Linked DNA regions of Cricetulus griseus. The protein of the gene in region 1 binds, or shares a complex with, the protein of each later gene. Links are inferred from orthologs where the notes say so. Each region holds a gene or a part of one and is shown in the gene's direction. Other genes may lie near its edges.

Evidence for each region. Proteins that work in one complex are often made in the same cells at the same time.
Region 2: Phldb2 (region 1) and Ppfibp1 share a complex: the UniProt entries of both Homo sapiens proteins name them as parts of the cortical microtubule stabilization complex. The link is inferred for Cricetulus griseus from reciprocal best matches to the Homo sapiens genes PHLDB2 and PPFIBP1.
Region 3: Phldb2 (region 1) and Ppfia1 share a complex: the UniProt entries of both Homo sapiens proteins name them as parts of the cortical microtubule stabilization complex. The link is inferred for Cricetulus griseus from reciprocal best matches to the Homo sapiens genes PHLDB2 and PPFIA1.

What each region holds. Positions count from the first base shown.
Region 1 is NC_048597.1:44,757,399-44,761,517, forward strand, and holds the start of Phldb2 (pleckstrin homology-like domain family B member 2), read left to right. Parts: upstream 1-1,319; 5' UTR 1,320-1,338; exon of another isoform or gene 1,339-1,374; intron 1,375-1,504; exon of another isoform or gene 1,505-1,689; intron 1,690-4,119. UniProt on the Homo sapiens protein: Seems to be involved in the assembly of the postsynaptic apparatus. May play a role in acetyl-choline receptor (AChR) aggregation in the postsynaptic membrane.
Region 2 is NC_048601.1:2,678,480-2,682,750, reverse strand, and holds the end of Ppfibp1 (liprin-beta-1), read left to right. Parts: intron 1-1,342; coding exon 1,343-1,522; intron 1,523-1,850; coding exon 1,851-1,916; intron 1,917-2,028; coding exon 2,029-2,115; 3' UTR 2,116-3,771; downstream 3,772-4,271. UniProt on the Homo sapiens protein: May regulate the disassembly of focal adhesions. Did not bind receptor-like tyrosine phosphatases type 2A.
Region 3 is NC_048596.1:56,855,100-56,858,599, forward strand, and holds part of Ppfia1 (liprin-alpha-1), read left to right. Parts: intron 1-60; coding exon 61-196; intron 197-2,053; coding exon 2,054-2,277; intron 2,278-3,443; coding exon 3,444-3,500. UniProt on the Homo sapiens protein: May regulate the disassembly of focal adhesions. May localize receptor-like tyrosine phosphatases type 2A at specific sites on the plasma membrane, possibly regulating their interaction with the extracellular environment and their association with substrates.

The sequences.
Region 1 (4,119 bases):
GAGATGAGGGGAAGGACAGTGTGTAACTCGTGAATTTATTATTGTGGTGCAAATCCTACCGGGGTAGTGGGCGGAGAACACTCAAAAATGCAAACCATTTTTTATAGGAATGGCTACAGCAGAAATTACAAGTCAAACTTTAGGGGCTGGCAAGGTTGTTAATCTGCTAAGAGCTGTACCACTCTTGTAGAGGATCAAGTTTGGCTGTGAAAACCCACGTTGTTTCTGCCCCGCCCCCCTCCATTCACGTGCACATACAGGCACAAAAACACACATACATATACATAGTAAAATATATTTAATTTTAAAAGTCAGACTTTTACTTACACAAATGCAACATTTTAAATAAGCATTTTGTTACATGAGTTTACTCACAGCTCCAGGCATTTTGCATAGATGAAGCAGAGGCTGCCTTGCTGTGCACCAGCACCACCGGTACCTCTGTTGTACCAACCTTAGAGACATCCTTGCTGGTAGCAACTGTCCCAGGCTACGTTGCTATTAATTAAAGAGCTTGCTGGTCCTTGCGCTTTCCTTATGCTGTGCGTTCCTCCAGGGTTGTTGTCTTTCATCACTGTAACCCCACTGGGCCAGAACTTTGCAGGCAATCCCATCTGGGCGTGTCAAGATGGACTGTGGGTCGTCCTCCCCAGTCCATTTCCTAGCCTCCCAAGGAAGCAATAGTGAAAAAAGTCCACATTAGTATAGTTTTCACTGGTTATGTTAAATTTATGGAAAACATCGAACCGTTTATGAGACACCATTCCAAGGAAATCGGTGTCACAGAGTTTTAAAGTCTTCTCATTCCTGCCCTTACCCCAGGCGTCGCCCTGCTGTTTGGCACAACTGCTTTCCTGACGCATCAGGTAAACCTGCCCCGGGGAGAACAGTGTGTGGCAGAGGTGCGGTCCCCTGGAGTTTCCCAGAGCAGAAACTTCATCATGGGGAAGAAACCTCCACCCGAGGACGTGTGTTCTCCTGTCCCATTTCCACCTTCTTTTAAAAAAAGAAAAGAAAAGAAAAATCCAGTCACAAAGGTTTCTACTACATTGCTGCGAACACAGCTTTGAGAAGGTGGGGCAGGGTGATGAGTAGCCAGGCACTTCAGCAGCACTAAAAGCAGGAGCAACTTAGCTGCCTAGGAGCCGGAAGGCGCCCTGACTTCACAGCTGGAACTCCAAGGACCCGCTGCTGTGATTCGGGAGGGGGTCGGGACCAGGGACCGAGCTTGGTGGAGTCCACCATCGTGGTCCGAGGGGCGCCGCTGAGTGTGGCACGGAGCAAAGCGGTGTGTCTGCCTTAGGTGGCCACGGGCACCCAGCCGCCTCGTCACCCTAGGTGAGTAGAGGGCTACCGTGGTCCTGGAGGAGCGGACTGAGCTGCTTTTGCGAACCCTGGCGGCTGCCTGGGGACACAGCGTCCCCCGCACTCGAGTTGGTAGCCGCCGGTCGCGCTGGGGAGGTCGGGGGCGGAGAGGAGGCGGTGGCCGCCCCCACCGGGAGGGGCGCCCAGAGTGCGCGGTGCGCGGCCTCAGGGACTGGCTGGCTGCAAGGCTGTGGCGGCTGCGGCGGCTGCGGTGGCTGCGGGAACCCGGACTAGGACCGCAGGGAAGGAGGGCGGGAGCGAGGGCCAGGCCCAAGGGCAGCGGGACCTGTGAAGAAAGCTGCGACTACAGAGAAAGATGAGCTGGTGAGTGGGCGCCTTGGGCGCAGGTTTTCTTTGCGTCCCTTGCAGGCTGTAGGGACAAAAGCCTGGGCAGGGGTCTGGAGAGCCCGAACCGTACCACCCTAGGATACTCTGCCCTCCTTATGCATGACGATGTCGGGTAGAGGGCTCGTGGGGAAGGGGTGCTCAGTACGGTGACGCCTCTAGAGTGGTTGAGGCGAAAAGGCAGGATTTAATTAAGGGTCTCTAAGGCAACTTTCGCGGAAACTTGCTTAAGCAGAGATCTAGACCCCAGGAAAAGAGAAGGTCCACAGCTGGATCCTGAGGAATATGGGGTTCCGAGAGGATCTTTTTGAATTAGGCTTCTAGATGTACTTTGTTTCCAGAGTGAGGCTGCAGGGTGAGCCTCCGGACCCAGATTCTCACCAGGAGTCCTTGATTGCGATTCAGCTATAGTTTCCCTAAACGTAGATGGTATAGTGTTCCCTTCGCCCTTAGTGATGGCAGCTCCAAATCATGGGATCCTTTCGACCCTGTTTCACAAGCTCCCTACACTGCGAGGAGCAGTTGAACTGTTCTTGGTGCGCTCAGTAACTTTGCCCCAGCTATCAGCACTTGAAGCCCCAAGGACCTGGCTAACTCCCGCCACCACCAGGAAATTAAAAGGCTGACGGGCTGTCCCTTCCCGGATTGGGATTTCCTGTTTGGAAAAGCTTTACAATTCCAACCTCCTTCCAGCGGTTCCTCTTTTACCTTTCTCACTTAAAAGAGGGAAGACTCCTGCAGCCTTTTATGTGGACCGGCTAGGGCTGGAAATCCTTTAGCTCGGCCCAGCCCTCTTCCCTGGAAGTCTTCCTTTTGTGGTTCTGAAATAACTCGAGCTTTGGGATGCACAACTAGTCACAGCCCGGCGCAGCTGTGAGGGGTCTAGAAGAGACATAAAATGTGGAGTCCGTTAGTATAAATATCTGCCAGCCGCATTTCCTTCCAGAATATGAATGTGTAAGTTACAGATGTAAATTTTCAACTATGATGCTTGTAACTAGGCTCCCAACGTGGGCTTAATTTGGACGTTTGAGATTTTTTTCTTTGGGCTTCAAACGTTTGAATTTAGCTGGGAGCCTCCAAATATGGTTCACAGTTCCACAGGGTTAAACTTTTGCCCTTGGATCACTTGAATTCTTTGTTCCTGGTAGGATAGCAACAGAGTAGTTGGATTTGGGATAAATAAACCTTGAGAGTAGCCCACTATTTTAACAGAATATGCCTGGTGCCGTTGGCTTCAATTGTGTAAATATTTATTTGAATAAAGAGCTAAGATTCTCTGAAAAGTAGCAGTTGTATCTTTCGAGGTTCCCTTTTCCTATCTCGGACTTAGTTGTTTAAAAGGTTTTTATTTATTTATTTTTCCTGATAAATTCATTGTGTAACTTAAACATAACGCATAATTAAGAAACTCGGTACAGGGTCTCCAAACTTTGACAAAGGGAGGAGAGTTGAGTTTTTGCTTTCAGTTAATGTAGCTTTTACTCCTGAGGCAGGGAAGTTTGCAAATCCTAGCTCTCTCACAAACGGCAAAATGAGATGTTTGGTTAAGAGCCGTCATCATTGTCAATTTTCAGGCTGGTTCTCTGCAGCTGGCAGCTGCTGTTCTTTTGGGGTGAGAATGACTGCAGAGATGTCTGCTTGATCCTTTTGGGGCAAGCAAGAAATGCTAGATAAGAAGATAGGGAAAGGTTTAACAAATGTCTTCAACAACTCTGGCCAAAGTTAACTACTTTTGCAAGCATTCTCAGGAGACAGAAGAAAAAGCCAAAGTTGATTTGATCAGACTCTGGTTTTCACTCCTTTCATCAGTGTTGAAGACTCTAAGCATGATGGGTTGTGGAGTACAATGAAGAAATCAAGTCTGGGGTCTTGATTAGTTTTTGCATAATTTTTAAAAGCAGCTGGGGTTGTGGTTATGACAATTGACCCTACAGGATGCTAGATTGCAGACATTGGGAAAGAGGTAGTGCCACAGGTGACAGGGAAAGACAGGAGCTTAACACATTCCCCAAGAATACCTGTGCTTTATAATGTGTCGCTAAATCTCTCTGTGCTTACTTATTAGATGCAGGAATGCCATCCATTTGAAAAACAAACACCTTCTGAGTGATGCCTTAGAGCCCTGCAATGTATTTTAGCAGTAGTTCTCAGGAATAGGAGGTGGCATACAGTCTGAAGGGAATGCTGCACAGTGTATTTTGATTATCATAGCTGAGGATAGGAATATGCAACCAGAGTCCTTTGAATAGAGATCTGTTAAATACCCTGCAATGTCTAGAACACAAACAACTGTCTGGCCCAATCCCTGTTCTAGAGCATTTCCCCAGGTCAGCCAGATGTTAGCAAATTAGGAATCTTAATTTAATTTGGATCCTCACAAAATTTACTTAACTCTTGTTGCTCAAC
Region 2 (4,271 bases), on another chromosome or scaffold:
ACTCGGTTTCGTTAATGAGTTAAAAAGTCTATATGAACATATGTTTATGAATTTCAAGAGCACTTAAGGGACTGCATGATGGAAAGTCTCTGCTGAAGTCATTCATGTTATCAGAGTCAAAGCTGATGTGGCTTCTGTTGTCAACGCTGAGGACTATGACCTGGGCCAGGTTTACCATTGCAGTGGTTTTGCTTTCCTGTTGGTAAAGAGGTGTAAGAGGAGGACTTGGGGTGGGAATAACCGAGTGGTGAGGGTGAGCCTCTGCCTGGCAGCATGAGGCCCGGGCTTGATCTCCAGTGCTGCCGATAAGTACATGAGCCAAGCAAGATTTCCCCTTGCACATCTTCAGCTTGCCTTGTTTATAAGTCAGAAAACCCTCCTCACGGAGAGAATCAGAACCAGGGGTTGTTACACCCACCTGTAATCCCAGCATGCAAGAGGCTGAGCTACACATAAAGAAGACCCTGGGGTGGTTTTTATGTACCAAGGTTTGAGGGCTGTAAGAGATTTACTTTTTCTTTTGAGTTATTCCTACATCGACTGGTCTGTATGTGTTGTTTCCACATCCTTCATGTGAAGACAACTTAAGAGTTTCTGCAGAAACATAGGGCACGCTCTCTTGTTGCACCCTGTCTGCCTTTGAATTCCTTTCTCCCTGGGGGCTGTGTAGGGACTAAGATGAAGTTTCTCTCCAAGAGTGTGAATCCTTTTACCACTCACCGTCTCATCACAAAGCAGAAAAGGCAAACAAAATAGTCACAGCTTCACTATCTACCGTCCCTCCCTCCCTTTCCTTCCCTCTTCTCCATCCAATGTGGGATTGAGCCTAGGGTCTTGATCATATTAGACAAGTGTTCTACCATTGACCTACACACCCCCAGTCTGCCCCGCCTCCTTTAAATTTTGTTTTGTTTTGTTTTGTTTTGAGTCAGGCTCTGGCTAAGTTGCCCATGCAGGCCTTAAGCTTGTGATTCTTCTCCCTCCGGCTTTCAAGTAGATCAAGTAGATGCGGCAGCCAGCAGGCCTATGCCACTAGACCAGCTAGGGCTCTCTTTCACTGAGCTTAGGTCGAATAGCCTTGCAAAATTTGAGTTGTCCCGGAGAGGCAATGTATTGTGTTACGTCCTGTCTAAAGCAAACAATAGACTTTGACATGTCCAGCCTGTGGCGTAACAGTGAGAGTTACAAGACCATTTACGAATATGTCCAGGATACTTCTGGTTTTCTTTCGATAATTTGATCATCCAAGTTGCTTTCTTTGAGTGATGAAGTGACATGTTATTAGTACTTTGTCAGAGGAGTTTTAGCAAATTTCTGGATGTCTTTGTGTTTGCTTTTAAAGCCAAAGAAACTGACCTTTAGCAACTTTGGGAATCTGCGGAAGAAGAAGCATGAAGACGGAGAGGAATATGTTTGTCCAATGGACCTGGGGCAGGTGTCGGGGAGTAGCTCCCAGAAGGGGTTTAGACCTGGCTTGGACATGCGTCTGTATGAAGAGGATGACTTGGATCGGTTAGAGCAGGTAAGCCCCGTACTGTGTGCTCACAGGCACTCGGACACACCATGGAAGCTTTGCACACTGTCTGCAAATGCCTGAAAACGAGAATAGCAGAGTATTCTGAATGCCTGTGGACAGCCGCCCACTTCCCAGTACTGCCCTAAGCACCTGGCATGCTTTATTGTTGGTACTGATCTAGGACCTTGACGGTGTTTCAGTGGGGAGACCGAGGCACAGGGTCCCTGCTGTTCTGCTGCACTCTGTGACTGTGCTCTTTCGACTTTGCTTTCATTCGTCTGCCCCTTTGAAATCTCGCAAATGGGTTTGTCACATTATGGCCTGTTCTTGGCAGATGGAAGATTCTGAAGGGACAGTGAGACAGATAGGCGCGTTTTCCGAAGGCATCAACAATCTCACAGTAAGTGTGTTCAGGGAGTTGGAAAAGTTATTCTAAAAGTGTGCAAAGCCACAAATACCCACTTGCTTGTTGGCAGGACTAAGTGTGTAACTTGCTGCCCCTTGTCTTCCAGCACATGTTAAAGGAAGACGACATGTTTAAAGATTTTGCTGCCCGCTCCCCCAGTGCCAGCATCACAGATGAAGACTCCAATGTTTGACCAGAGCATCTGGGCAAGCACCAGGAGCACAGGTGTCATTTTCCAACTTTGTTTTTCAAGTAGTTCATGTGACAGGTGACAGGTTATGCATTGCTGGTTGTTCCAACGTCTGCTCCCTCGGAAGTGGAGCTGTGTGTAATGCAGGGGCGCCGTGCCCATTCTGAAGACGCTGAGAGAAACGAGACACCGGTGAACAGAAGTGTGCCCACTCTGCCTCTGTGGAATGTAATGTCTGTGGTATCTTCTGTTTAAAGTGCTGCGTTTCAGGTTGGGCGTTTCCCAGAGTGCTCCTTCATCCACATCCCAGCGTGGACGGTTTGGCCACACCCGTGTTTGCTGCAGCGTCTAAGCTGAACGTGCTGCTCTCCAGATCCCACTGCTCACCGCATCCGGGGCCGCAGAATGCCAGCCGCACCTCCACTTGCCTCTGACTGTCTTATTTTCATATATTTTTCTAAATATGTATATATATATACATATATATATATATATATATATATACAGTATAGAGAAAACAGAACTTTTATTTTGTGACACAAGGATCGAAAGATCAGATTAAAAACAAAGAAACCCCAGTGTTCTCAGGTTTTTGTAGACCAGCTGATTCCTGAGGAGACAGGGAATTCCTCCAGTGATGAATTTTAACAGTGTTAAATTCTCCATGCTGTGCACTACGTTGACGCCCACAAAATCGCAGAGCGGTGTAGAAGCTCCGGCTTTACTCGTGCCTCCGGCTTTGGATGCACTCAGTCCCCTCAGAAAAGGTTTTGTTAGGGTGACTTTGGAAAAACCAAACCAAAACAGGACCTTTTTACATGTTAAGTTTCTCATTTTCTTCTTTGCTAAATGCACCATTACATGGAACTAAGGAGTCCACCTAGCCATGTCCACTGTCCCTTACACTCATACTGTCAACTGAGGGGGCTTCGTGTTATTTCAGTCAGGGATCCAAATACTCTGAGGCTGCAGGCCGTTTTCTAATGGTCTTCCTGTCCAGTAGCATATTGCTCATGTTTTCTGTAACACAAGGCCCAAAAGCTCTTTGCAAAGAGGCTAGAAAGCCAAGCACAGCTGTTCCTGTGGCATGTGTATATGTGTGTTTTCAGTGGTGTTGGAGACAATCTGGTTTTCATTTGGGGTTACACGTAACAAGACCAACTGTGTACAGACAGGAGCTCACCCGCTGGGGTGCAGGTAGGCAGCTCAGTTTATGGTAATAGATTTGGTGATAACCGTTTCTAAATGTCAGCAGTATTCCTGTTATGTGCTCAGCAGGTTACAGAGCTGTTCGTTGTGACACTTGTAACACTACTCTTTATATCTAACTACAATTATCTGATGCTAATGGTGATGTCCTTTGGATGCTCCCGTTCATGGTTTGATTGCTATATTGGCTTCTTCCTCGATTGGGGTTTTAGTTTAAACGTTGATTAAATGTCACCATTTGAAAAGCTCAATTTGTTATTTGAGCCTGGTTGAAAAATACCAGCAAGACTGTTACTGATGCCAAATATTCTTTATAAGGACAATGTAACAACTGATGATATGTGATAAAGTTAAAAAAAAAACTTTTGATTATATATTTTATTTACAAAAGTATTTGTATGCACTGTTGGCATTACCGTATGAAAGCAAATAAAGTCAATTGATAACTGCCTTGTGTTTTTAATTGTCATTATTTTAACATTCCTTTGTTCAGAAGAACATCTTGGTTTCTGATAGAAAAATAAGCTTGTATGTAACTTGCATATGTTTGTGTGAGTTGGGTTCACAGCATGAATCACAGACAAATTGAGATCTTCACTACTTAAGAAGTAAATGAAAGGAAATATTAGCACCATACTTGGGAAACAAAGGGTCAAGACAGAAGTGATCTACCTTTAATCCCAGCACTGGGGAGGCAGAGGCAGGTGGATCTCTGTGAGTTCGAGGCCAGCCTGGTTTACAGAGTGAGTACCAGGATAGGCTCCAATAGAGATAGAAACCCTATCTCTAAAAAAGAAGAAGAGGAGGAGGAGGAGGAAGAGGAAGAAGGGGAGGAGGAGAAATGGGAGGGGGAGGGGGAGACTTGCAAACTTGGAGACATTGGTTGGAGAGAAAGGGTATTTATGACTCCAACCTGTGTGCTCACATGCTGGTTTTCATTTGACCCCTTT
Region 3 (3,500 bases), on another chromosome or scaffold:
AGACCTTTCCAGCTTGACACTTTACCTTCCTTTTGATACCCACCTTTTCCCATGTTTCAGCCGACCCCATTTGGGCAGCGTCCCGGACTTCAGGTTCCCTGTGGCAGACGGGCATGTGGATGCTTACAGCACCAGTGCAGTGTTGCGGCGCCCCCAGAAGGGCCGGCTGGCAGCGCTGCGGGACGAGCCCTCCAAGGCAAGGCCTCCGCTTGCGGAACGTCACCTGTTCCTCTTGGACAGACTCTCGGTCTCCTTCTTCCCCCATGTTCCTTTCCTTGGCTTTTCTGGCTAAGAGCTTGCTTTTAGGGTATGCTTGCTTTTTGGTTTTAGTTCTTTCTTTAAGAACAGAATTTTTAATAAAATATCCTTTAAGTTAATGCTAATTGGTATGTACTTGAAATAGTAAATAAAAAATGTCAATGATGCCAGGTGTAGTGGCACAGCACACACCTGTAATCCTAGTACTCAAAGAGGCTGAGGCAGCAGGCTTGCCATGAATTCAAGAGTAGTTTGAAGCTACAAGCAGTGAGCAGTACAGTAGTCTGTACCTAGCTAGCTCTGTGGCGGGTACCATGAAGTTCTGTGCTGATGGTATGGCTACGGGCAGTTCATGGGCCCTGGGATTTAGGAGCAGCATGACTGAGGGCCTTAGGTGCTTGTAGATAGGGAAGGCTTGGCAGTGTGGGCCAGAATTTTCAAGCCCTTGCTGACTGACCTGCATGGACTCTTTGGGGTCCTTGTGGTATGTATGCTGCTGGCTCTCTTCAGAGCTCACATTTGAAGAAATCCAGGAGGAAGTCCAGGTCCTTCACTACCTGGTCTGGGAAGCCACATGCCTTTTTATCAGTTATATTCCCTCCATTCCTGTGAGTCATTGTGGTTTGTTCCCATATGGAGACCATTGAATTGTCTTCCACTTGGAGAGAGGGGTATATTTTCAAATCACTGCAGTATGCCAAGGATAAGAAGCAGGAGGCAGTTAGGTACCATGGATACCTGACTCTAGAGTTACAGTGTTACAGGCTAGGAGAATGATAAGCCAGGAGGGCTGGGGCCTGGGGCCAGCTGAATAGCCTATCCAGGGAGGACAGCAGCCAAGCCTGAGCCTATGGGAGCTGACCAGCTCTGCTCGCTTTGAGTACTCTGCCCACTTTGAGTGAGCCCTTGGGAGTGGGAAGAAGGGCAGAAACAGATGGCAGTTGTTGGAGAGGTTTTGCTGATGGACAAGGAAGTAGGGTGGCAGAATGTTGTGGTTTTTATCTGTGGTTTCAAGATGAGGGATGGAGATGCTGTCTTACCTGAGGAGATGAGGGTGCCACTGGTAGGAAGTCTGGGTGGAAGCCATAGCAGGTGTAGTGCCTCTGGAGGAAAGGAAGGCATGAGCCCTGACCTTCAATCCACAGAGAGGGAGGGAGTGTAGCAGCTGGAAGGGGAGGGGTAAGGAGGGGATTCATTAACCACCAGGAGGATTTAACACTGGCTGCTATGGGCAGTGTTCACAATAGGGGTCTCTTCTGTATAGTCCTTTCCCCTGGAAACTGCACCAGGGACCACTGGCTATGTTCACATGCCTGCTTTGCTTTCCTCCTCTGGCTTTTTTTTGGTGCTTGTCTGTACCAGGCTTGGGAAGCTCACACCCACTGCATCATTCCATGGCAGTTGAGCATATCCCTTCATGTGCCCCTAGGCTTCCTTTTCAATTTCCATCAAAGTGGGTGACCTGAGTGTAGATGTGGAATGTCCCAGGCATTTCTATCACAGTGTGTGTGCTTGCTCTCTCACCATGAGACAGGCTCAGCCTGTGCCCCAGCTGGCCCCCAAATCTAGACCCATCTCTGTATCCTCCTTCTAGGTGCTTCCATTACAGGTGTGTTCCTCAGGGCTCACCCTGTCTGTCAGGTGCTTCTTGTTTAGCAGCAGCTCAGGTGCATGAGCATCTTCCTAAAGCCTTGGTTTGCAGTAAGACTGCTCACATTTCTAATAGCAGCCTTCCCTACCCTTTGAGTGCTTGCTGTTACTTTTATCTACTGAGACATAGTGTTCTTGTTGGTAGGTGCAGACCCTCAACGAACAGGATTGGGAACGGGCCCAACAAGCCAGCGTCTTGGCAAATGTGGCACAGGCATTTGAGAGTGATGTGGATGTGTCTGATGGCGAAGATGACAGAGATACTCTGCTTAGCTCAGTTGATCTGCTGTCACCCAGTGGGCAAGCTGATGCGCAGACACTGGCCATGATGCTTCAGGAACAGCTGGATGCCATCAATAAAGAGATCAGGTATATATATGTACATATTTGGTGTGTAAGAGACACAAGGAAGCCGGGCGTTGGTGGCGCACACCTTTAGTCCCAGCACTCGGGAGGCAGAGGCAGGCGGATCTCTGTGAATTCGAGACCAGCCTGGTCTATAAGAGTTAGTTCCAGGACAGCCTCCAAAGACACAGAGAAACCCTGTCTTTAAAAAAAAAAAAAAAGAGAGAGAGAGAGAGAGAGGGAGAGAGAGAGACACACAAGGATAGTAGGAACCAGGAGGCAATGGCATGCATCTGTCATCCCAGCTCTTGGAAGGTGGAGGCAGCAGGAGGAGTAGTTAGTTCACAGCCAGACTAGACTATAAACAATTTTAAGGCCAGCCTGGACTACATGGAACCCTGTTTCAAAATAAGAGCAACAAAAAGAAAGTGGAAGGAGATGAGACTGGAGTGGATATTGTGAAGGTGTGAGGGTGGAAGGAAGGGGACAGGGAGATGACCAGAGACTAGAGTAGATGCTGTACAGGTGTGAAGGTGTTATAATGAGGCCTAGTGTGTTGTACACTTTGAAAACTCAAGAGATGAGTCTTGCAGTTCACTTTTTCATGGGAAAGCATGGTATAGGTGGGATCAACATCCCCGTTACAGCCCCCCACAGCAGAGCACTTGGGCTTCTGAGATAGTCTTTACCTCTGACAGCCTGGCCACCTCTCTACACTATACTAGGGGAGGTGAAACTCTTCCATCCCTTCATAAATAGAGAAACTGGGCCCAAATCACTCCCCTGCTACCCAGAGCTATTCCTGGAAGGCCAGACAAGACATGCAAGGTGCTGTTGTGTAAGTTGAAGTGGTGATTTGATCATGCTGTGGACAAGAAGCAGTGGGTTTCCTTCCTTCCATCATCCAGTGCTTAGCATACCTTTGTCTGTGTTAAGAGTGAGCACAGGAACATTCTAGCTGTTAGTGGAGGGAGACAGTAGTGCTAACATCACCAGCATTCTGCTGTTAGCTACAGGGTCTCCTGGTGTAGCCTTCGTTGGTCTTGAAGGCACCTTCCTCCCACTGTAGCCTCCAGCTTCTGGGCTCACATATAAGAAGACCCCTACCCCCAGCCAGACTTGGCTTGTTCTGCTTGCACACATAGGGCTTCCTGATGAAATAAAACCAACTGCTCTTGTTTGCATTTTAGGCTGATACAAGAAGAGAAGGAGAATACAGAGCAGCGGGCAGAGGAGATTGAGAGCAG